Regions from separate parts of the Mus musculus genome. Here all the other regions are reported to be linked to region 2. Evidence: microRNA targets listed by miRTarBase, many of them from high-throughput screens and not tested one by one. Region 2 holds a microRNA gene; each other region holds the end of a gene's coding sequence.
What was found. Region 2 holds the annotated microRNA mmu-miR-3085-3p (UCUGGCUGCUAUGGCCCCCUC, at 4,725-4,745, shown strand). A microRNA usually pairs through its seed, bases 2 to 8, with sites in the 3' UTR of a target mRNA and lowers its output. Matches are read on the target gene's strand: a 7mer-m8 pairs with bases 2 to 8, a 7mer-A1 pairs with bases 2 to 7 and ends in A, and an 8mer does both.

Region 1: miRTarBase lists Nol10 as a target of mmu-miR-3085-3p. Seed matches in the 3' UTR shown: 8mer at 6,094-6,101 and 8mer at 5,854-5,861.
Region 3: miRTarBase lists Gad2 as a target of mmu-miR-3085-3p. Seed matches in the 3' UTR shown: 7mer-m8 at 692-698 and 7mer-A1 at 1,208-1,214.
Region 4: miRTarBase lists Ddx51 as a target of mmu-miR-3085-3p. Seed matches in the 3' UTR shown: 7mer-A1 at 2,094-2,100, 7mer-m8 at 3,203-3,209 and 7mer-A1 at 3,475-3,481.

What each region holds. Positions count from the first base shown.
Region 1 is chr12:17,428,651-17,435,770 of GRCm38, reverse strand. It overlaps Nol10 (nucleolar protein 10), which reads right to left. Exons shown (of 21, transcript NM_001008421.1): 21 at 5,676-6,656. The coding sequence ends at 6,537. Among named protein-coding and RNA genes, the nearest start is that of Gm36752, 4.3 kb to the left of the region's middle.
Region 2 is chr19:42,277,720-42,284,839 of GRCm38, reverse strand. Mir3085 (microRNA 3085) reads left to right here and starts at 4,670; the gene lies at 4,670-4,758. It overlaps Crtac1 (cartilage acidic protein 1), which reads left to right. Exons shown (of 15, transcript NM_145123.5): 14 at 574-717; 15 at 1,160-1,805. The coding sequence ends at 1,278. It overlaps Gm34347 (a long non-coding RNA gene), which reads right to left. Exons shown (of 3, transcript XR_386718.4): 1 at 4,917-7,120.
Region 3 is chr2:22,689,908-22,697,027 of GRCm38, forward strand. It overlaps Gad2 (glutamic acid decarboxylase 2), which reads left to right. Exons shown (of 16, transcript NM_008078.2): 16 at 266-3,970. The coding sequence ends at 439. Among named protein-coding and RNA genes, the nearest start is that of Mir3967, 39 kb to the left of the region's middle.
Region 4 is chr5:110,656,322-110,663,441 of GRCm38, forward strand. It overlaps Ddx51 (DEAD box helicase 51), which reads left to right. Exons shown (of 15, transcript NM_027156.3): 10 at 10-125; 11 at 204-320; 12 at 495-596; 13 at 767-830; 14 at 930-1,064; 15 at 1,260-4,175. The coding sequence ends at 1,286. Among named protein-coding and RNA genes, the nearest start is that of Mir7026, 6.3 kb to the right of the region's middle.

The DNA.
Region 1 (7,120 bases), not on the chromosome of region 2:
CATTAAGACTCGCCAGGTGCTCAGGACGGGTAACAAGCAAGGTCTTTGCCACTCAGCAGCAACAGTAGCTGTCACACCATGACAGTCCCTAAATAGCTGTGAGATTCTGTCCCACCCCATGACAAAAAGTAATGAAATGAAATTCACTCCTTACTGGAGACTTACAGCTATGCCTTTGAAACTCAAGTTTTTAAAGCAAACCCATCGTCATGGTAACCCTCTTAAAACAAGATGTGACCTGGCTCAGAGAACATGCAGGGTAATTACAATACTGCTTTGTATTTAGCTCCACCTTTCTTTTGAGGGCTTTAATGGACCTCACTCATTAAGCTCCACAAACACTCTCTGAAGTCTTCAGGGGACAGATACTATTAAACCCACTTTACAGATGCACACACCAAGGAATAGCAGTCTTAAGTGGCTGTGCCACTAACTGGCAACTTAGCCTTGAGCAAGTCTAGACGAGACCCAGGTCTCCTCTTGTTTCCTCTGTTGTCTTCTCTAACAGACTCCATGCTAGCTTTGGAAAGCCCTCCATCATTAAAGGATTAGTTTCTCACAGCCTGGTCTGGGGATCCCTGACTCTGCCATCTATGTACAAACACTGATGTGGTACAGAGGAAAAACGGTGAGCAGGGGTTGTGGCCATGGGACCACAGAAATGGGAAGATCTGCAGAGGGCACACCCACCTGTGAGGGTGACATGACCTAAGACTGGAGCATCAGCCATTCTGATGTCCTAGGGCCCACAATGCTGACATCAAGCCATTCCTGTTCTAGTCTAAGTCCTCTGTCCTGTGCCAGTCACACTGGCCAAGGCTCTGTCCTCCCTGAGCACCACAGCAAAGTTGCCCTTTGAGTCTGTGCTGGAGCTCTGGGATTCCTGGGTAAGGCTCTATGGCTTCAGAACTGTTTTACAGGTCTTCCTGGGGCATCTGCTGTATGCCCTGGGGTCTATTCCGATTTCATTCAGCCTTATTCCACACTACTCATTGTATTGCCTGTCATGTCTTCCTCCTCCTCCTCCTTCACCTCCTCCTCCTGCTTTCATGGGTGCTGGGAGTAGAACCTGGGACTCCCGCAAGAGCAAGTGTTCTTAACCACCTGAGTTATCTCACCTCACCAGCCCTAAACTTTTTTTTTTGTTGTTTGCTTCATTTGGTTTCTCTGTGTAGTCCTGGCTGTCCTGGAACTCACTTTGTAGAACAGGCTGGCCTTGAACTTAGGGATCCTCCTGCCTCTGCTTCCCGATGCTGACACCACTGCCTGTCTATATTGCTTGTTTTCTTGTGACTCTTCTGCTTTCCGGTGAAGACAGAAACTGCACCAGAGCAGGGCATCCATCTGTTTAGTTACTTGCAAGGAGCGGTCAGTGAATCAACTCAACAAACCATGGCTTTGCTGTTGGGCCTGAGGAGGAAATAAAGATAACATGGGGCGGGGCAGGGAAGGAGGGGGGGCAGTGATGAATTTTATTCTGAGTACGAGGGACCAGAGGACCATAATACAGAGGAGGGGGAGGGGGAGGAAGAGGAGCTGGGGAAGGACCTCAGAGCCTAAGTGCAGTGTGAAAGGGAATGGGGGATGGGTGTGTGTGTGTAGGGGGGTGTAGCACTAAGTCCAGAAGGAAAAGTTTCATTAAGAGGCAACCACAGACCAGGCAAGGGAAGCTTGGCAAGACTGGAGGGACACAGTGGAGCTCCAACAGAGGAGCAGAGTGGGGCCCTGAGGAGGAGAGATTCCAACATTCCACCCATTTTGCAGAACTCAAGAAGGGTTAGAGGAAGAGAAAGCTGCCCCCGGGTCAACCAGGTGTGTGAGCAGAAACTGGGCAGTGAACTGAGGGAGGCCGGATGGGGAAATCCAACTGGGGAGGTGTTCCGGCCAGCTGGACTCGAAACCCCCTCAACTCCCAAGTCTAGGATGCATCATTCTGGCCTACATCTAAAAGAAACTCAAGGTTACTTCAAGTACATAGCTGGACTCCTTCCCACCTGTCAGCTTTGAAGTCCTATTGGGTTGGGCTGGGAGCAAGGATCATCAAAGGATGAGAACTTCCTCTTCCATCTGATGTGTGTGTGTTGGGGCATCTCACTAGTCAGGAAGCCCAGGAGCACAGCAGGCCTCCACCTTCCTGCAACTCCCATTCCAGGCTGCCAAGCCTCTATGGAAGCCCACTCACTGGACACTGCTGGACACTTTCTCAACTGAGGTTCTCTCTGAAAATGACCCTAGTGGTGTTTAGTTGACTGCAAAGTATGCGGCACGCCATCCATTTACAGACACAGATCAGGAACCAACTTCTCTAATGCCATGTTTTCTTCTTTACAAAAAGTTTTTACTAAAACATTTACTTGAGTTGTGTGCACACGTGGAAGCACACACACACAGACAGACACACACACACACACACACACTCAAATACATCTTACGGGAGTCAATTCTTTCTCCCATGTGGATTTCAGAGCCTGAACCCAGGTCATCAGGCTTGTTAGCAAGCACCTTCACCTATTGAGACATCTCACCAGCCAGTCCCTCACCCACACACTGACCCTTCTCTCATGCCCTCTTGACCACATAAGTTCCATTTCTGTTTCCTTATGTTAAACTTTCCCCTAAAGGTTATTTATTTATAACGTATATTTTCAACTTCCTTTTCCCTGTCCCTCTGTCAACCTTTGCAATTTCATCTTTTTGCATCTCATCTCTGAAAGCTCAGGTGGGAATCACTTCTTAGGCATAAAGGTTAAAGTCTGACATTAAGTAGAAAGTTGAACTGATAAGTGGATATTAGCCCAGAAACTTAGGATACCCACGATATAAGTTACAATTTGCAAAACACATGAAACTCAAGAAGAACGAAGACCAAAGTGTGGACACTTTGCCCCTTTTTAGAATTGGGAACAAAACACCCATGGAAGGAGTTACAGAGACAAAGTTTGGAGCTGAGACAAAAGGATGGACCATCTAGAGACTGCCATATCTGGGGACCCATCCCATAATCAGCCTCCAAAAGCCGACACCATTGCATACACTAGCAAGATTGTGCTGCTAGGACCCTGATATAGCTGTCTCTTGTGAGGCTATGCTGGTGCCTGGCAAACACCTAAGTGGATGCTCACAGTCAGCTATTGGACGGATCACAGGGCCCCCAATGGAGGAGCTAGAGAAAGCACCCAAGGAGCTAAAGAGATCTGCAACCCTATAGGTGGAACAACATTATGAACGAACCAGTTCCCCAGAGCTCGTGTCTCTAGCTGCATATGTATCAAAAGATGGCCTAGTTGGCCATCACTGGAAAGAGAGGCCCATTGGACTTGCAAACTTTCTATGCCCCAGTACAGGGGAACGCCAGGGCCAAAAAGTGGGAGTGGGTGGGTAGGGGGGTGGGGGGAGGGTATGGGGGACTTTTGGGATAGCATTGGAAATGTAAATGAGGAAAATACCTAATTAAAAAAAAAGTAGAAAGTTGAATGTTCAATTCCATCCCACTCAGTCATTTGTGACAGGGCAGGAGAACACAGCGTTCCTCTAGCTTGTCTTCTTGCTGAGGCCACTTTAGGTTTAACTAGAATTTGCTCTCCTCCATGGAGAATCCTGTGGGAAATAATTACCAACTCTAAGAGGTCAAGATGCTCCAGCTAATTTACCTTGGCTTCTGTTATACTGCTTGCTTGTACAGCTCTTTCCCTGCAGCTGCCAAGTGAGATACCAGGATGTGGTTTTGCCTTAAAAACCCCTTATGCTAAAAGCTTGGTGCTGTACTGGGCCTCAAAGACCTGAGTGCAGTCACCATTGGCAGCTATGGACTACGTCTGAGTGGTTTTCTCTGGTGGGCACCCCATAACGGCTTAAATAAACATTGCATGATGTGGTAGGCATTGTTCGAGAGATTAAGATACACAGCTACAAACAAAACATACTGATTAAAACATTCCCCCTAGTCCTTATTGAGTTGGCATTCTGGAAACAGGAGCTGACACTGGACAAGCTAGCTGAGAACTCACCGTGAGCACGTTGCACACTGCTGGGGCATGCTGGTCTACTCGACTGTTCCCCATCCATTCTTGTGTGTACCCGACACTTTCCATAGTAAGGTTCTAAATTTATGCTATACTTATTTGTGTGTGTGCACATGTGTGTGCATGAGTATATGAGCATGGATACTCATGTATAGGTCAGATATGATTTACTGTATTTGGTTTTCTTCTTCCACTCAAGAAGACTCTGTGGTCCCCGTGGTGACGTTTTGAAAGCATATTAAATGGAGTACCATTTGTAAACACATGCTGACACTGGGATGTGACAATGTAAATGGGGCAGAATTGACCAGACAGGAGAGAAAGTAACTTGAGAGGCCTGGGGGAGCGTGGGGAGCTGAGGGAATGCCCGGAATGTTCTAGAAAGAGGAAGGTCAGTGTGGTGACAGCAAACAAAGGAGTCTGTGCCAGGCAGGGTCCTTCAGGGACTCAGGATGTTACTGGATGAGAAGAGAACCAGGGGAGGATTCTGAGGAAAGGATCTGAACTCAATCTTCTTCCCAGAAGCCCTTCTAAGTCCCGCACCCCTGGGCCTGTATTTTCTGCTGTCTGCCCTGTGTTAATCCTGCCCCTCCCAGCATGTCTGCTTCCTTCAAAGGTTACTGATGAAAATACTTGAAACAGAAGATTTAGGCATTGGGATTGGGATACTAAAGCTTTGAGAGGGATCTGGAGCAGAAGAGCACACATCACTCAGGAACCCCAGTCCTCCAGGGCCTGGTGCCCAGCTTTGGTGCTACACTTCTCACACTAGCTCCTAAGTCTCACCGGGAAGGACAGCTGCTGGCAGGACTGGACAAAGCCACATCCTAGTGCTGGTAACGAGCAATCACAGGTTAGGGTTTGAGCCTGAAATGTCTCCCACAGGCCTCTAACTTAAACATCTGTCCCCAGATAGTAGTTAGGATGTGTGGGGATGTTCTTTGAGGTGAAGGCTAGCTGGCAGAGGTCAACCACAGGTTGCTCAGACAAGCCCTTTAAGGCCCTGTCTGGGTTTCCATTTCCTGGCCTGTAGTGATGTGAACAGCATCTGCACACCCTGACACCCTCTGAAACTAAGAGCCAAGATGAATCCCTTAAGTCCATATTGATTATTTTGGTGATAGGTGTACAAAAGCAACTGATATAAACACAGAAAAATGACAGAGTGGGATACCAGCATGCACAACAATTTTAAAATGGGAAACTTTGAGAAAGGGAAGAGAGGGCACCAGGGGCTCACAGCCCCAGGAGGGATCTGCTTAATAGTTAATAAAGAGGTAGGAGTGTGTGTGCGCGTGGGTACGTGGGTGCGTGCATGCGCATGTGCAGATTCATGTACCAACAGTCAGAAAGTTCTTGAGTACACATCACAGGCTAAAGAGACAAGGGTCCAACAACACTGACTGCTAACTAATGTGTCCTGCCTTGTGGACTCACCATAGGTACAGCCTAACGAGCTCCCATTCTATTTGTTTACATGAGAAACTCCAAAGTATGGAAGCTAAAGTGAATTTTAAATTTCCACAGGCAGGAGTCTTCCTCAGAGAAAATGTCCAAAGAAAAGCATCTCCTTTTATAGGCGCTGCCTGTATCAAATAGTACTTCATCAGAAAATAACTACGTAATTTTGTGATAAGCTAAACAAATAGCCAGTAGCGTTCACTTATTATTTATTAATTTATACCCTTGATATAAAAATAGCTTAAAAACTATACAAAGGAATATAAGCAAGCCAGTCAGCCTGCCAACATACTCATGCACATAAACAGGGCCACTCAGCAGTCATCATGTGACTCAGTCCTGAGGGGCAGAAGACAGTGGGGACAGACACTCTGGCTGGGCCTGGTGGTGCATCCCTTTAACTTCAGCACTCAGGAGGCAGAGGCAAGTGGATCTCTATGAGTTCAAGGCCACAGATTGAATTCCAGGACACCCAGAGCTACACGGAGAAACCCTGACTCAAGTCTCAAATAAACAAATGACAAAAAAACAAAACAAAACAAAACAAAAAACCCCAAACCATTCTTTTTTTTGGGGGGGGGGGGTTCCAGACAGGTTTTCTCTGTGTAGCTCTGGCTGTCCTGGAACTCACTCTGTAGACCAGGCTGGCCTCGAACTCAGAAATCCGCCTGCCTCTGCCTCCCAAGTGCTGGGATCAAAGGCGTGCGCCACCACGGCTGGGCTAACCCAAGCCATTCTTACAGCATGATAATGTCCTGTTTCCAGTAGAGGGTGAACTTTTCACTTCATGGAGGCCTTTCCAATATCTGAAATGATGCCTGATCATCAGCAGGGGAGAAGACAAGATTTAAGGGGGGCGGGGGAGGGGGAGAGAGAAAGGGGCAGCCACTTGGAAAAAGCACCCAGGGCCAGGGACTTCTCCAGGTGGGTAGTGGGCCAGTCAGACCACCAGCACCATGCACACACATCTACACGGAGCCTGGGTGTGATGCCCTTGTGAGAATCCATGGGGAGAAGCACAGCGTCTAGTTGCTCGTGGGCACATTTCTTTGGTCAGTGAAAGGGCCGGCCTCTTCTGGGTCTGGACCTCAGGTGGCTGGCCGACCTGCGCAGATTTTTCCTTTCCTGACGATGCAGTTTTTCAGCCTCCTGTTGCTTCTTTTGCTGTTCAGACTAAAAGAAAGTGAGGTGAGTAGAGGAAAGGGTCTGCTATAACCCTCAGGGAGGAGCAAAGGCTGCCAGACACACAGTCCTGCGACCAACACTGTGCAGCTCAGCATCACGTCCTGGTGGCGGCAGGAGTTGGACAAAGAACAATTTTCACTGTCAAAGGAGAAATTCTGAATCCCTGGGCAAAAAGAACACACACACCGGGAAGTGTCTGTCCACACACCGGGAAGTGTCTGTCCGCACACCGGGAAGTGTCCGCACACCGGGATGCTCTAAGAGGACTCATGCCTACTTCTGCTTGCACACTGAAACTCTGAATTCATTCACAGACTTAAAGACAAACAAAAAATGTTGCATTTTATCAAATGCATATCAAACGTGTTTTTTATCACACACATATTAAAGTGCATTATGACCTACACCTGATTAGATAACTCATTAGGGCTGGCTCCAAAGAGCTTTTGGAT
Region 2 (7,120 bases):
AGTGAGGAAAGCAAACAGATGAGATGGTGGGGGCAGAGTGGATAGGACCCCTGCTGTGCGATTGCACCCTGGGGTGAGGTAAGGGGAGACCCAGAGATGACTCTGATTTCGCTGCGTGGCTGAGTAGTTGGTGGCAGCACTGATGAAACCATGGAAGATGGAAACAGGACAGAAGAGGCTTAAGGGCTGAGGGAAATCAGAGTTCCATTTTGGAAATGATCAGTCTGAGGTGGGGATTAGGCATCGAGGTGGAACTGACATCTAGGTCAGTGGTGATTGGACTCAGGAGCTTGGAGCCCAGAGGAGAGGTTACGGCTGAAGGCAGGAAGTTTACATTCATCCACGTATAGTTTATCTAGAGCAAGTGTCGTGTACAGAAGAGACCCAGGACCAAGCCTGAGCTCTCCCAGTGTGCACAGGCCAGGATAGGAGGAGCTATCCTAGAGCACTGAAGTAGAGAGACAGGCCCAGCAAGGAGGGACATGCCCAGGGTCACAGCTCAGTGGGCAGACAGATCCCAAGCTAGGGCACACTGCCTACACGTCCCTGGCGAGTGGCTCCCTTGCTTTGCAGACACCAATGAATGCATCCAGTTCCCATTTGTGTGCCCTCGAGACAAACCCGTATGTGTCAACACCTATGGAAGCTACAGGTGCCGGACCAATAAAAGATGCAATCGGGGCTATGAACCCAATGAAGACGGCACAGCCTGTGTGGGTAAGTGGAACCCTGGCCACATTCAGTAGCAGAAGACACGTGCCTTGTGCTGGGGAGTGGCAGGGAGGGACGGGTGGCTCTGAGTGGGCTCCAGGCCACAGCCATTAGCCCCTGCATCGCCCTGGGTTGATAGGTGCTCCTAGACTCACAATAGTTCTCCAGTTGAGACCATGCCAGGCTTGGAGAGGCCCTATCACTCCTGTCCCACTGGAAGGGCCCCGGGGTAACGTGTCCTGGTCTTATCGTTATCCCACTACTCGTGGTCCTTGAAGCAAGTGTTTTCATAGCTGGGATGCAAATAGCTCCTCCAAGTCACCTTTGGCAGATAATTTCTGAATTAGTGTTTGTCTTATCCTTCCTCCCAAAATCCTTCCTCCCAACCAACCCTTTGTCTCTCCCCATTTTTTTTTACCTCCCTGCGCTTTTGTTTGTTTTTTTGCAGCTCAAGTGGCCTTTTTAGGTGGGTACTCATCGGCTGCCTTTAGACTCTCTGAGCCTCTCTCTCAGGCCTCGTATCTTTCTCTAGGCCTGGGACTTTGCCTTCAGTTATATGCACTTTAAATCCCATCAATAAAGGAAAAAAAAATCTAACAACCTTTGTGGAAAACTATATCTCTCCTGCTGCCTACCTCTCTCCACACCCCATAGATCCCGCCATGTGCTCCTTCGAACGGACAGCAGGGGTGGCCATCTTTGAAAAGGGAAGTTTGGGAGATACTGATGGGACCTTAGTTGTTGGTGAAGCCTTTCTTTGCATGTTTTCTGAGAAAACAGAAAAAGGAAAACTATCTCCTCTACCCCACCCCTCCTTCCGTGAGAAGAACCAAGAGAGTCCAGTCATTTCTGTATCTTCGTGAGCTTCTTCTTGTTTTGCCCTTGACAAAGATGGCTCCTGGGTGGTTGCTGGCTCGGTTGATTCAGTAATGTATCCTGTGCCTGCTGATCCGGCCTGTGCTGCTGCTGCTGCTTTGTACAACCTGATTTCCTATGATTACGGAAGCCTTATTGGATTGGTGGTGGCGACGGAAAGGGAAAGGGTGGCCCTTTGGGACTGTTGATAAAAAAAAAATGCTTAAGTTTGAACTTGCTAAGTCTTCCAGCCTCTTTTCTGGAGAAATGATGCCAGTAGACTCTGCTGGATATTAGCCATGGGGGAGGGGGTGTCTGAGCAAGTACATGCTGGTTGGAGTGTTGAATTAGCTGTGACCCTTCCACCAGGGGGTACAAGGAAACAAGTCATGGCGTAAGGGAAGTGCCGTCCTCGGGCCCCAGCCGTGCGGCTGGGTGAAGGAAATACTCGGAGGACCAGACAAGGCACGTGGAGTGGGTGAGGGGCAGGCACGGAGGCAGTGCTGTATCAGTGCAGTATCCTTCCAGGAATTAACGTCTCCGTTCTGGAACCCCATTGCCTTTCCGTAAATGACAAGAGAGTTGGGTCAGTACATCCATACACCCCCTGTTCTCCCCAACTCCCCGCTGCGTGACTGGACATAGGTATGGTGAGTCTCCAGCAGTGCTGGTTTCTAGAAAGAACTTAGCAACTCAGCCTCTGCAATATGCTTGGGAGCCTGGGAGTGCCCGTAGCCAGAGTACTCTTTGGGGATGATGTAACACCACAGAATATGCTCATGACCAGCTCTGCTAGTGAAGGCCCATTATAAATCACAGATATATTCTTCATGGGGGAAAAAAGTCGCTTGAAGATATAATAAAATCATGCTTAAGAATGCAGCAAGCCTTTTAAAAACATATTTAACAAAAAACTACCCTTTCCTGATACCATAATAATATTCCCAATAAATCACCAAATATGAATTCCTTGTAGCTAGCGCTGTGTTTACACTCAGAACCAGAGCCTAAATGAAAAGTTTTAAAATGAAAACAGCTACAATTTCCCTGGGAAGCACATAACAACTTAAAAATCGTTCCAATTCCACCAGCACCGTCCCTACCCATCGACAGGGAATTAAAGATCTGCAAGGGCCCCAGACATGAGACTCAGAGAGATGAAGTGGTGGAGGTCACCCTGCCCAAGGTCACAGAGCCAGCTGGCCCCCCACACCAGGCATGCAGCTCTTCCTGCCATCATGTTAAGGGTGAGCGGCTGTACACTTGCTGCTCAGACCTTTCCCCGTTCACCCCGGAAGCCCTTGCCTTTTCAGACCTGAACAAGTGGATCTGAGATAGTAAGACAAGGAAGACCCAGAGCCCACGGGGACTGGTCGCAAATGCAGCGCAGAGCAGTAGGAAATGACAAGATAGCGAGCTCCATTGACTGGCCACACATGTCAGCATGAGAAATGGGAGTAGGAAAAAATAAAAATAAAAACCAGCGAGACAGCCTGCCAAGGACACCAAGTGTGACGGCCAACTCCAGAGGATGCCTGATCCCTCCCCCCCCCCCACCCCCGGTTGAGTTTCAGGCCACGGGGTCTGGCAGTGCCATTTCATCCTATCTGGTGGGAATGTCAGGGGAGTCAAAGAAAGAAGTTCAAGGCTCCCTAACTGCTGAGAGCAAACTCAGGGTAAGAAGGCTTTCCGTGGCGTTCATTCATTCAACAGCTATTGGCTGAGCCCCTGTTCTGCAACAGGGCCTGGGTAGGGCTCTAGGTTTGTAACAGTGAGTAAAGATAACATGTTTGATACCCCACACGCACACCACCTTCCCTCCAGCTGGATGGAAAAAGCCAAGTATAGTGTGGGAGGGGACTATAAGGGGCTTTCTTAAAAGTCTAGCTAGGTTCTCAGGTTACTGCGCCTGAGAAGCAAACACTATGCATTCATTTATCCGTGTGTCCATTCAGCAAGTGTTGATTAAGGACCTCGTGGGTTTCTCATGAAGAAGGTAACCAGCTCCCCTCAGTGAGAAGGTTAAGTCTCCTACACCCAAGAAGCTTATATTGGAGGAAAAAAATACCAGGTTAAACTTTATGGAAGATGGGCAGACTCTGAACCAACCCAACATCACCTGCCCGCCACTCACCAGGCATCCAGATATTGGAGCTGGGTGCCCCTGGCTCCAGACCTTCATTTCACTTCCTGAGCGTTATCAGCCACGGGTGAGTGGGTGCAAGCTTCAGCAAGGCTTAGGAGGCCACTGTCCCCATCCCCTTAACTCCTCCACTTCCTCATCCTGAGGCTCATGGCCTCTGAGCCCTCGTTGTCCACTTTGGAGCACACACACCCATCTTTCTTCTGTCCCATAGACCCACTTAGGTCCCTGACATCTTTTTTTTAGGTTATGCTCCAAGTTGTAAAAAGTAAAAAAAAAAAAAAAAAATGGAAAAGCCACCTTCAGGGCAGGTGAATAACACATGATCAACTCTAGCCAAGGCAGAAGTGGGATCCTTCCCATCCTTCGTTCCATTTTTCAAGAATACCCCCTCAAAACGATCTTTAACAATTTTAATAGTAATAATAACTACAACAATAATATCGCTTTTACTCTGTCTGATGCAGTCTCCTCCAGGAATGTTCCCCCTCAGAATGACAATAATGGCTTTCAGTGAGTGAGCTCAGCGTGTCTAGGTTGGACATAAACTCTTTACAAGAACCAACTCGCTTAATCCCTGCAGCAATCCCTAGAGGAAGAGGCTATAATTATAGGGGTGGGTTAAGTGGTTCCTCGGGATCACACAGCTGGGATAAGCAAAGGTGGGGTGGCGTCCCAGACAGTCTGGCTGTCTCCCACTAGCATGCTTACCTGCCCTGCCGTGCCTACCCACTTCATTCAGGTAGCCAACTGGTTTGGGCAGAAGCCACAGTCTCTCATCCTTCTCCAAGTCAAGGGCTAAGTGGGAAGGGAGAAACAGAGTTCCCAGAGAGCTGAGAATTGAAGCAATCCTACCAGAGTCACACCAAAGCCTGCAGGAAGAGCAGGCCACACCCACATGGAGAGCGCCCTCACCAGGCCAGCCTGGTCACTTTCTCCAGGTCACCTCCATCACCAACAGTCCCAACTCTGGGAAGGTGCCATTCCGAGGGCCAAGAGTCTGAATATGAGTCACTCTGGCTGCTATGGCCCCCTCCCAGGGCTTGGGCATCACATCCCTACCAAGAAGGCTGGACCAAGCAAGAACTCCAACACAGCCTCTGTTAGAGGAACATGGAGACAGAGAACATTTCATCATTTCATCATCTCAGGGTTCCAGAGATTCCAGACTCCAACTTCAGGAGGACAGTCAAATCCCTCCCCTTACCTCTCTGCCCATGGTCACCGCTGTCTCATTCCTTTTGTAAGCTCAGTAGCCAAGCCACAGGGAGTCAGAAACCTGCCAAGGGCTGAGGTTGTGTTTCCTTGGCAACAGGAACATCCTGGAAGGAGGAAGAAGGAGGCAGGCAGCTAGGGCTAGTTAACAGGACAGATAATCCCACTGTCCTCTGCCCTCAGCAGCTCTGCCCTCTTACACAGCACTGTGGAACAGTGGTTCAGTCAGAGGGTAGACCATCAGAGGAGAAATGAGAAGCAAGAAGACACAAGAGCATCCTCGGGGAGAAGTTAACATTTACGGAATGCCCACTATATGCCAAAAACTGCATAGATGTCTGCATTAATCCTTACTCCATCCTGAAAGGCAAATGTTACTGGTCTACTCTATTACCAAGGAAACTGAGGCTTGGGAAGAACAAGCTACACAGGGTCAGAGTTCACTGAAGTGGCTGACGATGTAATTTAGACCCCAAACTGTCTACTCTGCAGCTTGGGTTCCTAAGCTGTGTGCTTTCAGTTTCCAGGTAATTTGCACCTGAGGGAGTTATGTAACCAACTGGTCACTGATAATCAAATACAGACCACTATGTGCTGCACATTATTCTAGTGGCTTTGGATATTTATCGGTGAACAACACTGGCAACATCTCTTCCATGTTGACATTTGGCAAGGCATGCTCGTATAAACATGACGGTAAAAGTCTTGTGTGTTAGAAAATCCTGAGTGGGGGAAGAGGGGAGACATTAAGGGAGTTTGTGAGCACCTGGGTAGAGGCAAACTGTTACTTTAGGTAGGGTGGGCCAGAGTGCTCAGCCCCTAGAGGAAAAAAAAAAGATATTTAAGATTTAAAGTATTTAAGATTTAAAGTAGGTAAAATATACTTGAATCTCAGTTTCTCGTCTCTAAAATGAGTATGAAGCTTACATTTATTAAACTTGAGTTTTAGCAGTAACGGATACCTCACAGTTATTGTATTAAACTTGCCACAGTGTCTGGCATGGAGTGCACCTCCTATAAATCAGAGATCTCATTATTAATAAATACCACAATTGATGATGGAGCCAGGTTCTATTTGATGTCAAAGCTCCCATGCTCCTCAACAGTTGTGCCTGGAACAACCAGAGGTGTGCACTGTCTGCCCTGGGATGCTGCAGGTAAGTGAGAAAGAGACAGCAGGACCACAAATAGCCATCAAGGGGCAGAGGCCAGCTCCCTGGCCCTGGCATATGCCAGGTTCAACATAGTGCTCACGGGGCATCATTGCCAAAGATATAAATAAAGTAAATAGAGCTGGGTAGGCATGAGGTCGGCTGGGCCGCACAGAGCAGAGGCTGCTGGAAGCCACGGCACTTTTCTAGACAGTCTCCATCAGCACTAACAGACTCCCCAAGCAGCTAGTGCCAAGGCACCTGAGAGGTCTTCTAGTTCTGCCGCATGCTTTGCAGACAGGGAGACTGAGAACCATAGATTCTGCGACCCCGTGGGTCCTCCTCGGGGTCACACTGCCCCTGGCTCTTTTGAAGACCTCAGGCCAGGGTACGACTCCCCACTTCCTTCCCCAGAAAGCTCCACTGTTTCAGAAGCATGCGACCACGGTTTTAAGACTAAGTGGGTGGAACTGATTCCTCCCACCAAGTGACAAAAAGAACCACACGCTTGATCCTGGAAGCACTCCAAGACAGAGGCACCCTCTCTAGGAGACCCCTGGGCAGCTGGGAGTAAGGAGGCAGGTCAGGAGCTAGCAAGGAGGGGAGCAAGGAGAATCTGCCACCATTCCTAGGGAGCTCTGCTCAGAGCCCATCCATGCCACCACACCAGTTTGTGAGGAAGAAGAAAATCCAACTGAGGCCTCTCATTATCATAAAGGTAGCTCCTCTCGCATGGCCAGTCCCAGAGCAGCAACAAAAACTCCTACCCTCCGAGTGGCTGGATGCCCCTCCAAGCTAAGGGCTGACTTCCTTCCCTCTGTGGAAGGAGAAACACACCCCAGCTCCCGACTGCTCCTGAATGGCAGGAGAACAGGTAGAAACCAGACAGAGGAAGGCAAACCAGATGTACCCATCTCTGCTGTTCCAGGAAGATGCAGAGAAGAGAAAGGGGGAAAATTTGGGGTTGGCTCTGGGACACTGTCATTAGAATAGTCACAGTAGCTCAGTCCAAACAAAAGGTTTCCCATGCACCAAATGCCACAGC
Region 3 (7,120 bases), not on the chromosome of region 2:
CCCAGGAAAAGATTCTTTTCATTTCCTGCAAGATGACGAGTCTCTTATTATATTTAGGGTTTTTAATATTCTGAGCTATTTTTATTTGCTGATCTCATGAAAACTTGAAGCAGTTCCTTCAAGAGAAAATTGTGGTCCTGTTTAGTTAAAAACTAAAAACACCACTTGCTATGGGATGCACTGCATAACATACAAACATTGATTGCATAACTAACATAAAGGAGATAGAGAGAAAGTCGTTGCACTGACGTGTTCTCTTCCACAGGTGGCGCCAGTGATTAAAGCCAGAATGATGGAGTATGGGACCACAATGGTCAGCTACCAACCCTTAGGGGACAAGGTCAACTTCTTCCGCATGGTCATCTCAAACCCTGCAGCAACTCACCAAGACATTGACTTCCTTATTGAAGAAATCGAACGCCTCGGACAAGATTTGTAATCACCTCACTCATCAAACTGTTTCAGTTCTCTAGGTAGACAGCTAAGTTGTCACAAACTGTGTAAATGTATTTGTAGTTTGTTCCAGAATAATTCTATTTCTATATCGTGGTGTCACAGTAGAGTACAGTTTAAAAAAATCAAAACCAGTGGGGTGGTGGTGGCGCATGCCTTTAATCCCAGCACTTGGGAGGCAGAGGCAGGCAGATTTCTAAGTTCAAGGCCAGCCTGGTCTACAAAGTGAGTTCCAGGACAGCCAGGGCTACACAGAGAAACCCTGTCTCGAAAAAAACCAAAAAACAAAGAAATCAAAACCAACAGGAAACATCACTCCTTTTTAAAATCCTTTCTTAAGTTTAGAATACCTCTCTAATAATTAGTGACAAAAGGCTGTGTTCTAATCAGTAAGAGAAAGTATAAAATTGTTATAAATACTTCCCTTTTAATATAGTATGTTAATCCAACCTTATTTTCACTTCAGAGCAGTAGTAATAAATAGTGCCAAATCACCCTTGAATCATAAAAGGTTCTCTGGGGTACAGTGAAAAGGACAAAGTAAATATAAAATGTATGTGGACAAGAAAAACTCTTGCCTTTTTCATAGTATTAGGAAAAGAATTTCTAATTTACCTAGAGCAACATTTCAAATGTATTTAAATACATATAATTTTACAAAAGAAAAATATATATTAAAAGAAATCCTATTTTGTAACATATAGATTTTATTTTATATGGGTTATACAGACTGCAGAGGCAGATATGAAACATAAGCCAGAGTTATTTCTTTACTTTTTTCTATCTTTCTTCTCATGGAGGCACAATAAAACACTTTAGCAAGATAGTTTTAACATAGAACCCACAAAATTCTTTTAAAATGTAATAACTTACTTTAGAATACATTGTGGCTTATCATATCCCTAAAGCTAGTATTTCAAAGCAAACACACACAAAAATGAAACTTCTAAAAACAATTGAACAGATCAACAATTAAGATTCTCTTCCTGTTTAGATGTTGCACTAGTTGACCTCGCAGACCCTGTCTAGAAGCCAGGCAAGCCCAGCTTGGACCCAGATCCAGGCAAGCTCGTCCACTCTGCTTCCCGGCGGCCTGCTTTCAACCAAAGGTTGATATTAGTTCTTGAAGTGTCTTTTCAAACCATATTCTTTTATTAGATCATCTGGATTAATTAGGAAAAAGGGTGAAAATAAAACCAAATCAGCCCTAGCAAAGAGGGGTACAGCACACTCCTTAAGTGTGATAAGCACAGAATATTAAACCCAGTCATGGGAGTCGAGACCTCTGTATGACAAGAATGGCTTCCTCCCAGATGCCATTTTGCTACTGTCTGGGGAAAGGGTCGTTTGCATCCCAGATGCTCTCTTCTTCAAATTCCTTCTCCATCCCACACTTTAAAGTCTCTCCTGCTAGACTCCCTGCCCCCAGACCCCTAGTAATGAATTACTATCCCATGTGGCTCTTTTCCTTTCCTGAAATGAGTTCCTCATGCAAGCAATTTCAAGGTAGCCTAAGAACTTCTTTTATCTGCCTCCCATCAAGACCCACAGTGACTAGAATGTGCAGAGATCGCTAAAATTCAAATCAAGAGTTTGAAAATACGTTTCTTTCCCTGTAAACTGGATGGAGAATGATCAACAGCTCCCATGATAACTTTAAGTCACAGATGAACAGATCTAAGTGCTGGTAGAACTATGGACTTTTACATGCAAAAGGCAAGTACCAGTCTGGAAGCATTCTCCCACTCCATATGGATGGGCATTTTGGTACTCAGAAAGATACAGGAACAGAAGAAAGAAGGCCCTGTCCCTAACTACCACAAATCTTTACAACTTAGCCCAGACCTTATTTGACTAGACATACTGATCCTCAGTATGACTGTAGCTTTGGGCCCTTGCTGTCTAGACAGCCAAAAAGAAAACAACCTGTACACCAGAGTGTCATGAAGTAGGTCAGCACTCCCTAATGGACAGGCATAACTTTCCTTTCTAGAACCTGGCTGCTGAGAGTAAATATGCAGCTGCCCATCCATCTTGTGCCTCAGGCCCACAGATCTCACTTCCCGGGCAGAGACTCACTTATCAAACCGAGTGTCCCGCTTAGAGAAGGCAGAAGGGCCTACTGTCTGATAGATGGAAAGCTTAGCCCTTGGGGGACAGACTTAGTAGCTCAAGCTGGCTTCTAGTTTGATGAGATGACAGAATTTAAAAAGTTGTGTCCATGCACTTTTTGCTAGTGAATTGGATCTCCAATCCCCTTCTTCTCCAGATTCTTCCTCAAAATTTCTAGGAGCCTTGCTCGGGCATGCAAATCTTCTCATCCTGTATCCTAGAAAAGGAGGTACATGCATGCCCAGTACTTTAATAGATCCTCTACAGCAGCTCTGCCATCCACTCAGGAGAGTGCTAAGGAAAATGGGATGAAAGAGTAATAATGGAGTAATAATGGAGGGAGACTATATTGAACGTTGGTCCAAATCCCCAGTGCCAATGGTCTCTATCTGTGATTTTTTTTTCTTTTTAAACATTGGTTTCAGTTTTAATCAGAATTGATATGCTAATTTTTATTTATATAGCAATATTTCATTTATTATTTAAAATACTTGAAAAAAGTGCAGTATGTGTTTATCTAAGACTTCTAAGTGGTATAGACTTCATGTTCTGTCACAGGATTTGAAGAAAGAAAATCGTGTGTGTGTGTGTGTGTGTGTGTGTGTGTGTGTGTGTGTGTGTGAGTGTTGCCGTTAGTACATTGTTAGTACTGTCTTGTCACCTCAGATTGAGGTTGTGCACTTTATATTGAATTGTGTGGTGTTGCAAAACAACATGTGTTGCTGTAAAAACTTGCACAATGTATTACCAGTGTGTCTTCTTCTATGTGGTAGTTGTATTGAACTTTGAACTTTGAAATTATGAGAACTACATTTGCATCCATTCCTGTCCTTGCCTCTCTTCTACCCTCACCCTTTCACCCAGTCCCAAGCTGTGTGCCCTCTCCATTGGCTCTTAGAGAAAACATAACCTCAACTAAGTCCCACCCTAAGAAATCTCTTTGACAACTGTGTGATGGCACACAAAATGCTTCATCTCTGAGGCCAGAGAAACCAATTATGGAGCGTCACAGGCTGCTGACAGTGCAGGTATTGACTCTACAGGGTCTTGGAGAAGGTGCTGCTCCTCAGAACATGGACAAAGGATGCACAGGTGTAAATATAGTAACAGGACAAAGAAGCAAAAACATCAAACCAGGTATCATCTTGCACGTGCTTTTCTGTTTTCAAGTGCTAAATGCAAACACTGTGTATTAATTAGTTGTGTATGCAAAGATCTTGTTGCCAAATGGTGTTTCTGAATAATGTCAACATTTCCCCAGCACCACTACATTAACTAAAGACAGAAAAAATAAAATAAAAACAAATGTGGCAACCTATGCTACCAAATATAAACTTGTGTATGATCAAAGTATTTTACCTGTGTTTTCTCTCTAAACCCAAATAAATGTGTAAATGTAGACATATCAGGCTACGGGTGCTCACTTTACACTCTGTCATGTGGTGGAGGTCATTTTTAATATTTAATGACTTTCTTGTCTTCTGGTCTTACTTCTGCTATCACCCCCTTTCTTCATCAAATAGAAATGGTCAATCAAAAATATTTTATTATGACATTTTCACCTAAGTATAAAAACGAGAAAAACAAAATACCAAAGTCCCATGTGGCCTTCAACCTTTACTCTTGCAATCTTATTTAATTTATTCCTCTACACTACTTTTCCCCTGGTACCAAATTATGTTTTTGTGAATGTGTGAAAAATAAGGACTCTCAGATAGGAAGGACTCCAGATTCTGCCATTACTCTCTGTGCTCAGGAAGAAATTCTCACTCTTTTTGATATGAAGGAAAAGTGTCTCGGGAGTAATAAGAATGTAGGTTCTGCAGCTGGATTACCTAGAGTCAAGTTATGTATGACACATCACTGGCTCTCTCTGATACCCCAAGAATAATCAACAAGCCTCCTTGACTGTGTTCCCCAGTTTGACAACAGCAAGTTTCTTCCTACAGTTTTGGTGTTGATTAAATTGAATGTATGTATGATACTGAGCGTGGCTCTTGGAATTTGTGCTGATTAATTTTCATCATTAGCTTGATGAATTTATCTTGAGGTACACCTTCTGAGGGTATTTTCATAGCTGTTTAACTAAAGAGGGAAGGCCCACTCTCAATATGCGTGATATCATGCCATGGGCAGGAGCCCTGGACTGAACAAAAACCATAAGAGGAAAGAGGGAGCCTCTCTCTACCTCCTGACTGCAGATGCAATGTAGCCAGGTGCCTCTCATGCCCACTGCTGTGCTTTGCCTGAAGGTAGGACTGTATCCCTTTAAACCATTGGCCAAACAAATCCTTCCTTCTTTGAATCACATTTGCTGTGCACTTTGTCACAACCATGAGGAAAGTAGCTAACTCAGCAGTCACTAAGTAGCAGTCAACAAGTCTTGATTTGTTTCATATTTTATTATGGATTCTGTAAGTCACCTCTTGTCATGTCCTTAAACACTCAATCTCCACTGAGCTTTTCCACTGTTGACTCTCCATTAGTGATGGTCAATGATTACCCACCTAACAAGTTTAGTTCAGAAATAATATTTAACATTGTCTTCTACTCTCCCATGTAGATTGTCTAGCCACCCTATTTATCCATCTCCATCTACAGCACAGAAAACCCTAGCAAAATTCCTCCATAACCTCCTGTGGTATCTACAGTGAGAAGTCACTTCCTCCCTATTTTGTGCATCTTTCACAGAGGCTTAGTGTAATCTTGACTAAGTCCACTAATGTCCTTGAACTTCCTTAGGTGAAAACTAAGGGAATGGGTCCTAGGAAGAAGGTGGTTGTGATGTGGTTCAAATTTAGGCTTCTATCCACTCAACTTAGGCAGATAAGAGATCCAGACCTTCTACTCCCAATACACATTTCTTCTGTCCTGTGCCCACTTGAGTATTCCCTCAAATGCCTGTCAGGCTAAAGGCCTCACAGGCTACCTCTGCCATTTGGGTATCTGTGGAATCACTTATTCATCCTTTAGATATCCCTTTCCTCCCCTTAATGCTGGAACCTAGCTCCACTACCTGATGGCCTGCACTGAGCCCCCAAGTACACAAGCTCCTCAGTCCACAAATGACACTCACTTCTTCCTTATTCTGGGATCCTACTGCAGGCCAAATGAGACCCTGCCCACCACCTTGCTTGCTCTCAACTCTCCCTTCCTCTGAGAATATAGTACCACCGGTAATGGGTATTATAAGGCCCTGTGCTGAGTACCCAAACCCCACTGTAGCACTCTACCTCTGTTCTCTGGCACTCTAGCCTGTTTCTTAGCAACTGCCAGGAGGACCTCCTTGTTCTCTGGGGTGTTTGTTGGTGAGGCCAGAAACTACATCTTTCTGTAGCTGAGCTACAAATCGCTCTGCTGAACCCTTCACAAATCAGTTCTGACTGATCCTAAGACTGAACTTCAGGCATTTGCTGATACAAAACTTGTCAAACTAGCATAACAGTAAACAGAGAAGCATATGCCTATTTACAAAGGTGGGGCAGACCATCCCAAAAGACATGACCAAAGCCCTAATTCCATACACCTACTCAGGCCCTTTCATAAAAATGCAAACATGAAAAACAAAGACAATATATCTCCTCCAGGAAATCTTTAATTCCATAGGAATGGCTCTCATTGACAACAACTAAAATGACACTTAAGACAATGAATTCAAAAGAACATATGTTCAAGACTCAAAGAGAACATGAACAAAGACCAGACTGAAGATTAAGAACACATACAAAATAAGAATGACAATTCAGGGTATGAAAATGAAATTCAATAAAGAGATTGAAATATTAAAGAAAACCCAAACGAAAATAAACCCTGACACAAAAAGCTCAGTGAAAAACTCCACCAGTAGACACAATGACATGGAAGATGAACTATCAGGATCAAAATTCAAAGAGGATGAATTGTAACATTCAGTCTAACAAGACAAAAAAAATCAAGCTCACACAAAAAGAACATGTAGGATCTTTGAAACACTATGAAAAAAAAAGCCAAACCTACAAATATTATGGATATAGAAGATGAAATCCAAATTAAAGGCACAGAAAATACTTTAACTAAAACCATAGAGAATTCCCCAGATCTAAGGAAAGAGATGCCCATCTAAATACAAAAGACCCACTGGATACCAAAGATCAAACGAGAAATTCCCCATGCTGTATAATACTCAGAACATTAAAGAAACAAAACAAAGAAATATTGAAAATTGCAAGAAATAAAGAAAAAGTTGCATATAAGGAAGACCAAATTAGAGTAACATTTGAGTTCTCAATGGAAACTTTAAAAGCCAAAAAGACTAAAGTGGTGTATTTCCAGTTATGAAGGACTATGGATGCCAAGCAAGATCATGGTATCCAGCAAAACCATCTGTTATAATTGAAATAGAAAAACATTCCAGGACAAAAGCAGTCTAAAGGAAAACATAAAGAGCTAAAGAACAAAACAAAACAAAAATATGAACATCAAGAAAACAAGCAACACAAAAACCTTGGCTATAGGTCTGAACAAAGAATTCTCTACGGGAAAAATACAACTGAACATTTTTAAAAGGTCGCCACTA
Region 4 (7,120 bases), not on the chromosome of region 2:
CTCCCACAGCATCACTATGTGCCGTGTAGACTCAGCTCGAAGCCACTCATTGTCTTACACCTGGTCCTCAGGATGAGCTGCTCAAGGGCTCTTTGCTTCACCAACTCCCGAGAAAACTCCCACAGGTAAGGTGAACTAAGGTGGGTGGAGCCAATGTACACTAGACTCTCGTAACACCTGGCTTCTATTTCTTCTCTGCCCAGGCTGTACCTATTAGCACAAGCTTTTGGGGGTGTGAGTGTGGCTGAATTCTCCTCCCGCTATGGGCCTGGCCAAAGGAAGAAAATCTTGAAGCAGTTTGAACAAGGAAAGATCCAGCTGTGAGTACCAGGGAAACAAGATAGGACCTACTCTATAGAGTTGGGTTGTCGTTGGGACCCCCTAGTTTCCGAGCAGCTGATTTCCAAGAGGGACTTGGAACTAACCCTGGCGGAGTAGGCACAGGGGTGGATGTTTGTTCCTGGCCCTCAGCCCTACTGCCTGTGTTTCATCAGCCTTATCAGCACAGATGCTACTGCTCGAGGCATTGATGTGCAGGGTGTGGAGCTGGTGATCAACTACGATGCCCCACAATATCTGAGGACCTATGTGCACAGGTAAGGGGTACTTGGCAGTGGCCATTGATAGGCCACATTACGGATTCTTGGTCATCCTATGTAGGATCACCCTGCATGATGGTCATGTACAGTATGGCCAAGAGAGGCACTGTCCTGTCAGGTCTCTGGGCCAGGAGCCACTGTCCAAAAACACTCGTGCTCGGTTTCAGGGTCGGGAGAACAGCTCGAGCCGGGAAAACTGGACAGGCATTCACACTTCTCTTGAAAGTGCAGGTAAGATTGTTTAGTTCTTAGCAGACGTCATGGGCAGAGCCAAGCTGCTACAGATGCCGGCCTGATCAGACTCCTTCCCATGAAACGCCTCCCTTCCAGGAAAGGAAGTTCCTTCAGATGGTGTCAGAAGCTGGGGTGCCTGAGCTGACACACCATGAGATCCCCAGGAAGCTCCTGCAGCCGCTGGTTGCTCGTTATGAGACAGCCTTGTCTCAGTTGGAGAAAACTGTCAAGGTGAGGCCTTCTGCAAGTGGAGGCTCTGCCCTCGAAATGCCATCACACACAGGAGAGGGAGGCAAGCAGGAAGCAGCCTCATGCCATGGGAGGTGCCTCCTTTAGCATGATGTCTGTTGTCTCTCAGGTGTAGGGCTAGGGGGCTGTAGCTAGCAGTAGGGATGAAATGGTGCAAAGCTCGTTTTCCCTCCACAGGAGGAGCAGAAACTGAAGGCAGCCTAGATGAGAACAGGGCCCTGGAGGGAAGATCGTGCGAACAGAAGATAAGTTCCTTGGGGTTCCAGTGGAAACAACCCTTCTCCCCAGTGCCGTGGGCATCTGGTCGTCTTGGTTGATGCAGCCTAGATGGTGGCCTCGTCCTGAAAAGTAATGGCTCTCGGGTTGGACTGCTGGTGTCCAGTTGGTCTTGGGAAATAAGCTCAGGTGAAGCTGAAGGATGCCTTCTGGAGTGTGAGCAAACACTATGGTGACTGGACTGTGGTGATCAAAGTGCTTATACGTTAGCGTCTCCTGTCTACAGAGAAGCTATGGCGAGCCTGCCCCAGGCAAGTCACTGGAGCCCAAGAACAGGTTGGCAGCAGCCTTGAAGATACTTCCTTGGCTACTAGTCTTCAAGATTGTACTTTATAATTAGCCTCCCACCCATTTAAGTTCTTAAATGATGTGAGAGTCCTTCCCTGAATATATATAGTCAAGGAGAATTAGCGCTTACCTGTGCTTTTAAGAAGGCCTGTTTTTAAAAAGTCAGTGTATCAAAAAAGATAAACATTTTCATTTGTATTCAGAAAAAAATAAATGGATCACTTGAACCTATACAAATTCCCGATAGCTCCAACACAGCCACTTAACTACTCCTCTAACCCAGAACACCTAGGCACAGGCTACGGGTACTATCTTCAGGCCCTTGGAACTTGGATAAGGGGAAGCTTCCCACAGCTTTAACCAGGCCTCCCTCCCTTTTAAATTTCACATATATGAGTGTTTACCTGCATGTATGTCTGTATAGCATATATGCCTAGTGCCCAAGGAAGCCAGAAGTGTTTGTTGGATCCCCTAGAACTGGAACTACAGGCAGTTGTAAGCTGGATCCTCTACAAGAGCTTTAATTACTGAGCCATCTCTGTGTCCCTGTCCAAGTCCTTTTTAAATCTGAAGCTACCACAGCCCTGGCTTCCCTTACTGGTGCCTTGTTCCAGTTGCCTTGGTTTTGCCTCTTCTGTGACCTTTCAGAACATGCATTGCCCTAGACCCAAGCTAGCATCACTTTCTTTCTCACAGGATCAGACCCTTCCCCTACACCCAGAGATCTCCCAAACACTGTCTGCCAAGATTAGGTTAGTAAGATCATGTGCTGGCTTTCTATCTGAATTGGTGATACTAAAAGGGATAGATGCTAGGATAGCTGACTGGGTGTTCACAGTGTTAGAACAAGCTTAATAACTTGTAATTAGACCAAACCGATATATAAAGTGCATGAGGATTGCAGTTATGAGGTTTGGTTCATGTGTGTTGGGCCCAGGAAATGTTTTTCCAAAGCTTGTTTTAAGGAAATGCCTGTTTTCTAACAAAATCTTAGGTAGAGCCTAATAGTAGGAATAAAGTAGGCAAAGCCATTGTGGGAGGTTCAAGACTGACAACAGCATCAGGCATTTTGCAGAAGAGGTTAAAACTGGGGGAATAGTTTCCACAGAAGCACCGAAACAAACGTGGGCTCATGTCAACATTAACCCTGCCAGGTAGAAGCCACTGAAGCTACCCCACAGGAGGACACAAGACAGTGAAACATTTGGAGTAACTCACTCATCACACTATAGGGCCTGTTTGTTTCCCAGGCCTGTAGTGGTTACCTTACAGCTTTCTCTGCCCTGGACCATAGCTCTGTGGAATTTGCATCTGACCCTAGCCTCTTGCTGTGTGGGAGGTTGCTCACTGGGGAGTAGTACCCAAAACTGAGAGAGTCAAAGTAGCCGGTGTCATTCTGATTCTTTTTTTTTTTTAATGTTTATTTTGTTTGCATGTTTATTTGTGTACCATGTGTTTGCAGTCCATTATGGAAACCAGAAGAGGGGGACTGAGTTACAGTCAATTATGATCTACCATTTAGGTGCTGGGAATTGAACCTGGGTCCTTTGGAAAAGCAGCCAGTGTTCTTAACTGTTGAGCCATCTCTCCAGCCCATCATTGTGTCCCTTAAATCACAGCCTTTATGGGTAAATACTGATCTCTCACAGGGTAGTCACAGTTGATTTTTGAAAACAGCTGGTTTTTTTAAAAAAATGTTTGTTTACTGAGCAGGGTTCTCTGCATAGCCTGGCTGTTCTGGAACTTGCTCTGTAGACCAGCAGCCTTGAACTCTCCTGCCTCTGCCTCTTGAATGCTGAGATTAAAGGCCTGTGCCACCTTCACTCCTAGCCAGATACAGATGGTTTTAATGTGAGTTATTAGAGCTAGGATTTTCACAGACCAAAACTGAAAGATCTTGCTGATGAGAAGTCTGGTCTGAAGGTCAGACTTCCTTTTGAGTAATCAACATTGTGTTACTAATGCTTTCAGCATTTCATACAGTGAAATTTGATCATATTCACACACACACCCTTTTCTCCCATATCCATCCTTACTCTCACCTCCCCACCCATCTAGCCCCAAGGTTTTCTGTTGTTGTTTAAACCCATTGAATTGATTTGTATTATGGAGTGTGGTTCCTGCCCTGCAATGTGGTCAGCCTACTAGGGGTCACACTACCAAAGAAAACTGAGTCCCTCTTTCAGTAGCAGTAATAACAGTAGTTCCTCAGCTTATACAGGTCTTGTGCATGCCATCACAGTCTCTGTGAGTTCATATGCCTTACTGCTCTATTGTGTCTTGAAAGCATTTTCCCTTGAAGTTATGTACTGCCTCTGGCTCTTAAATTTTTTTGTACCCTCTTCCTTAAAGATCCCTGAGCTTGGACAGAGAGGTGTGAAATGTTCCACTTAGAGGTCAACACTCCACACACACACTCTCACTCTGGACTTGTTGAGCAGCTGTCATCTGAAAGCTTTTCTGATGAAAGTTGGCAGTACACCTACCTATGGGGATAGCAGTGTCATTAAAAGTCATTTTTTACCCTGTGCTCATTTTACCCTGTGCTCAAGCCTGTGACTTATACAGCCACAGATTCTTGGCTCCATTAACAGCACCTACTATTTCATGGAGTAAGCCTGAGATTTAATCAGAAAGTGGTTGAGCAACTAGGGAAGGCTCAGCAGTTAAGAGCATTTACTTGAATAGGGTTTGGTTTGGTTCCTAGAACCCACATGGTTTACAACTGTCTACAACTCCAGTTCCAGAGGCTCTAATATCCTCTAAGGGCACCAAAGGGCACCAGTTGTACATGGATATGTTGAAGAAAAAAATTATAATTTTCAAGGAAACGGTTGGTGCCTGGCTTGGTGGCCCACACCTTTAATCCCAGCACTTGGGGGCAGAGAACGGTGAATCTCTGAGTTCAGGCCAACCTGGTCTACAGAATGAGTTACAGGACAATCAGGGCTACATAAAACATATCTACAGAAGGTCTTTTAAAAGGCCTTTAATCACAGAAGAGCACATCAGATGCCATTACAGATGGTTGTGAGCCACTATGTGGTTGCTGGGAGTTGAACTCAGGACCTCTGGAAGAGCAGTCAGTGCTCTTAACTGCTGAGCTGTATTCAGCCCCAGCCATATCTAATCACTTGAATGATGTTTTGTTGTTGTTGTTGTTTTGCTTTTTTTTTTTTTTTTTTCTCGAGACAGGGTTTCTCTGTATAGCCCTGGCTGTCCTGGAACTCACTTTGTAGACCAGGCTGGCCTCGAATTCAGAAATCCTCCTGCCTCTGCCTCCCGAGTGCTGGAATTAAAGGCATGCGCCACTACGCCCGGCTCGAATGATGTTTTAAAACCGCTGAAAATTCCATTGTGTAAAGGTGCATTTTTTTCATCAGTTGATGGGCTTCTAGGCTGTTTCCATTTCCCGGTTATTGTGAATAGAGCAATTAACATGGAGAAGCAGCACCCTGGAGAAGTAGATAATAGAAGCTTGGGTATATGCCCAAGGATGTAGCTGCATCATGGGGTAACTTTATTCTCAACTTTTTGAGGAACTGCCATGCTGACTTACAGTGGTTGTATCAATTTGTACTCAAACTGGTGAAGGATGATCCCCTTTCTCTACAGTCATGCCAGGTTCTACTGTCTATTTTTAAAAACCTTGTCCATTCTGAGTGGTGTAAGATATTTGAAGTCTCAAAGTTGTTTCCCATTTCCCTGATGGCTCAGGGTGGTCAACATGTTTTTCAGACATTTCATTAAAAAAAATATTTTTGAGGTAGGTTTTGTCTTGTTTTCTTTTTTGGATATAGGGTTCTCTCATTGGCAGTTCTGGAGTCCTCTGTGTAGACCCAGCAGACCATGACCTCACAGAGATCTACCTGCCTCTGCCCACCAAGAGCTGGGATTAAGGGCTAGAGCCATCATGTCCTGCCCAGCCCAGCTTACTTATGTGTCTGAGTCTTCTGTCTGCTCTTAACAGCTGAGCTATCTCTCCAGCCCACTGTATGTCTTGAGAAGTTTTAGTTCCTTGCTGTATTTTTGTTTTTCGAGACAGGGTTTCTCTGTGTGGCCCTGGCTGTCCTGGAACTCACTCTGTAGACCAGGCTGGCCTCGAACTCAGAAGTCCTCCTGTCTCTGACTCCCAAGTGCTGGGATTAAAGGCGTGTGCCACCACTGCCCAGCCTTTGCTGTATTTTAAAGATTGGCTTATTTCCTTGCTTGTTTTTTAGGTTTAGGGTTTTTTGTTTTGTTTTGATTTTTAAAAGACTTTTAATGCTTATGTGTGTGGTATGTGAGCATAGGTTCTCTCTAATGGCTGTGTGTTCTAACTGCTGTTAGCTCCCCAGTCCATGTTTTGAGAGTTTTTTTTAGTTCTTTGTGTCTTCTAGACACTAATTCTCTACCAGATGTGTAGCTGGTAAAGACCTTTTCTCCTTCTGTAGTTGTTTCTTCACATGAATGATACTGTCCCTTTGTTGTACAGAAACCTTAAGTTTTATGAGGTCCCATGGTTTTACTGCCTGCACTACTGGGGTTCTGTCCAGAAAGTCCTTCTGTGTGCTTTTAAGTTTATTCTGCCCCACCCCCGACCTCTATCAGATTCAGGGTATCATGCCTTACACTGAGGTCCTTTGATCCATTTGGAGTTGAGGTCTGGCAGGGTGAGAGATAAGATTCCAGTTTACTCCACATCCTGCTTTTCAGTTTGACCAGCATCATTTATTAAAGATGTCTTTCCTCTGGTATCTTTGTTCCCTTTATCAAAACTCAGATGGTGGTGGGGTGTGTGGACTTACCTGGGTCCTCAGTTCTACTGCATTGGGTAATGTGCCTTTTTATGCCAGTGCCATGCTGGTTTTACTACTATAGCTCCATAGTGTGACTTTAAAATTGGGGGTGGAGATACCCTCAGCAGCTCTTTCACTGTTCAGGATTGAATTATTGATTAGAATTATTTATCAGTTAATGGTGTTACTGATGTGTGTGTGTAGTCTGTATTTTCTGTATAAAATTGAATCCATATATAATTTATGTATAAAATCATATAATTCTTGGACATCATTTCCTATTTTTGTTGTGTCTCTTTCACTTGTCTCTCCACTTAGATTCCAAGTTTTATACCCAACACGAGAAGGGAGAGTAGACATTCTTGTTTCGTTTTAGTGGAAATGTTTTGAGGATTTCTCTATTTAGCTTAGGTTTATTTTGCCTTTATCATGTTGAAACATGTTCCCCTTCCAGGACACAGAAATGTTGGATTTTGTCACAGGCCCTTTCTGAATCCAATGAGATGATCATGTGGTTTGTCCTTGAGTCTGATTATGTGTGGTGTATTAAGTTTATTGACTGACCCATGCTGAATAATCCTTGCATGTCTGGGATGAAGCCATCTTGATCATGGTGTATCTTTAAAAAAATTACAAATTTAGTTTTAAATATTTGAGAATTTTTACATATATGTTAAGAGGTTGGCTTTTTTTTTT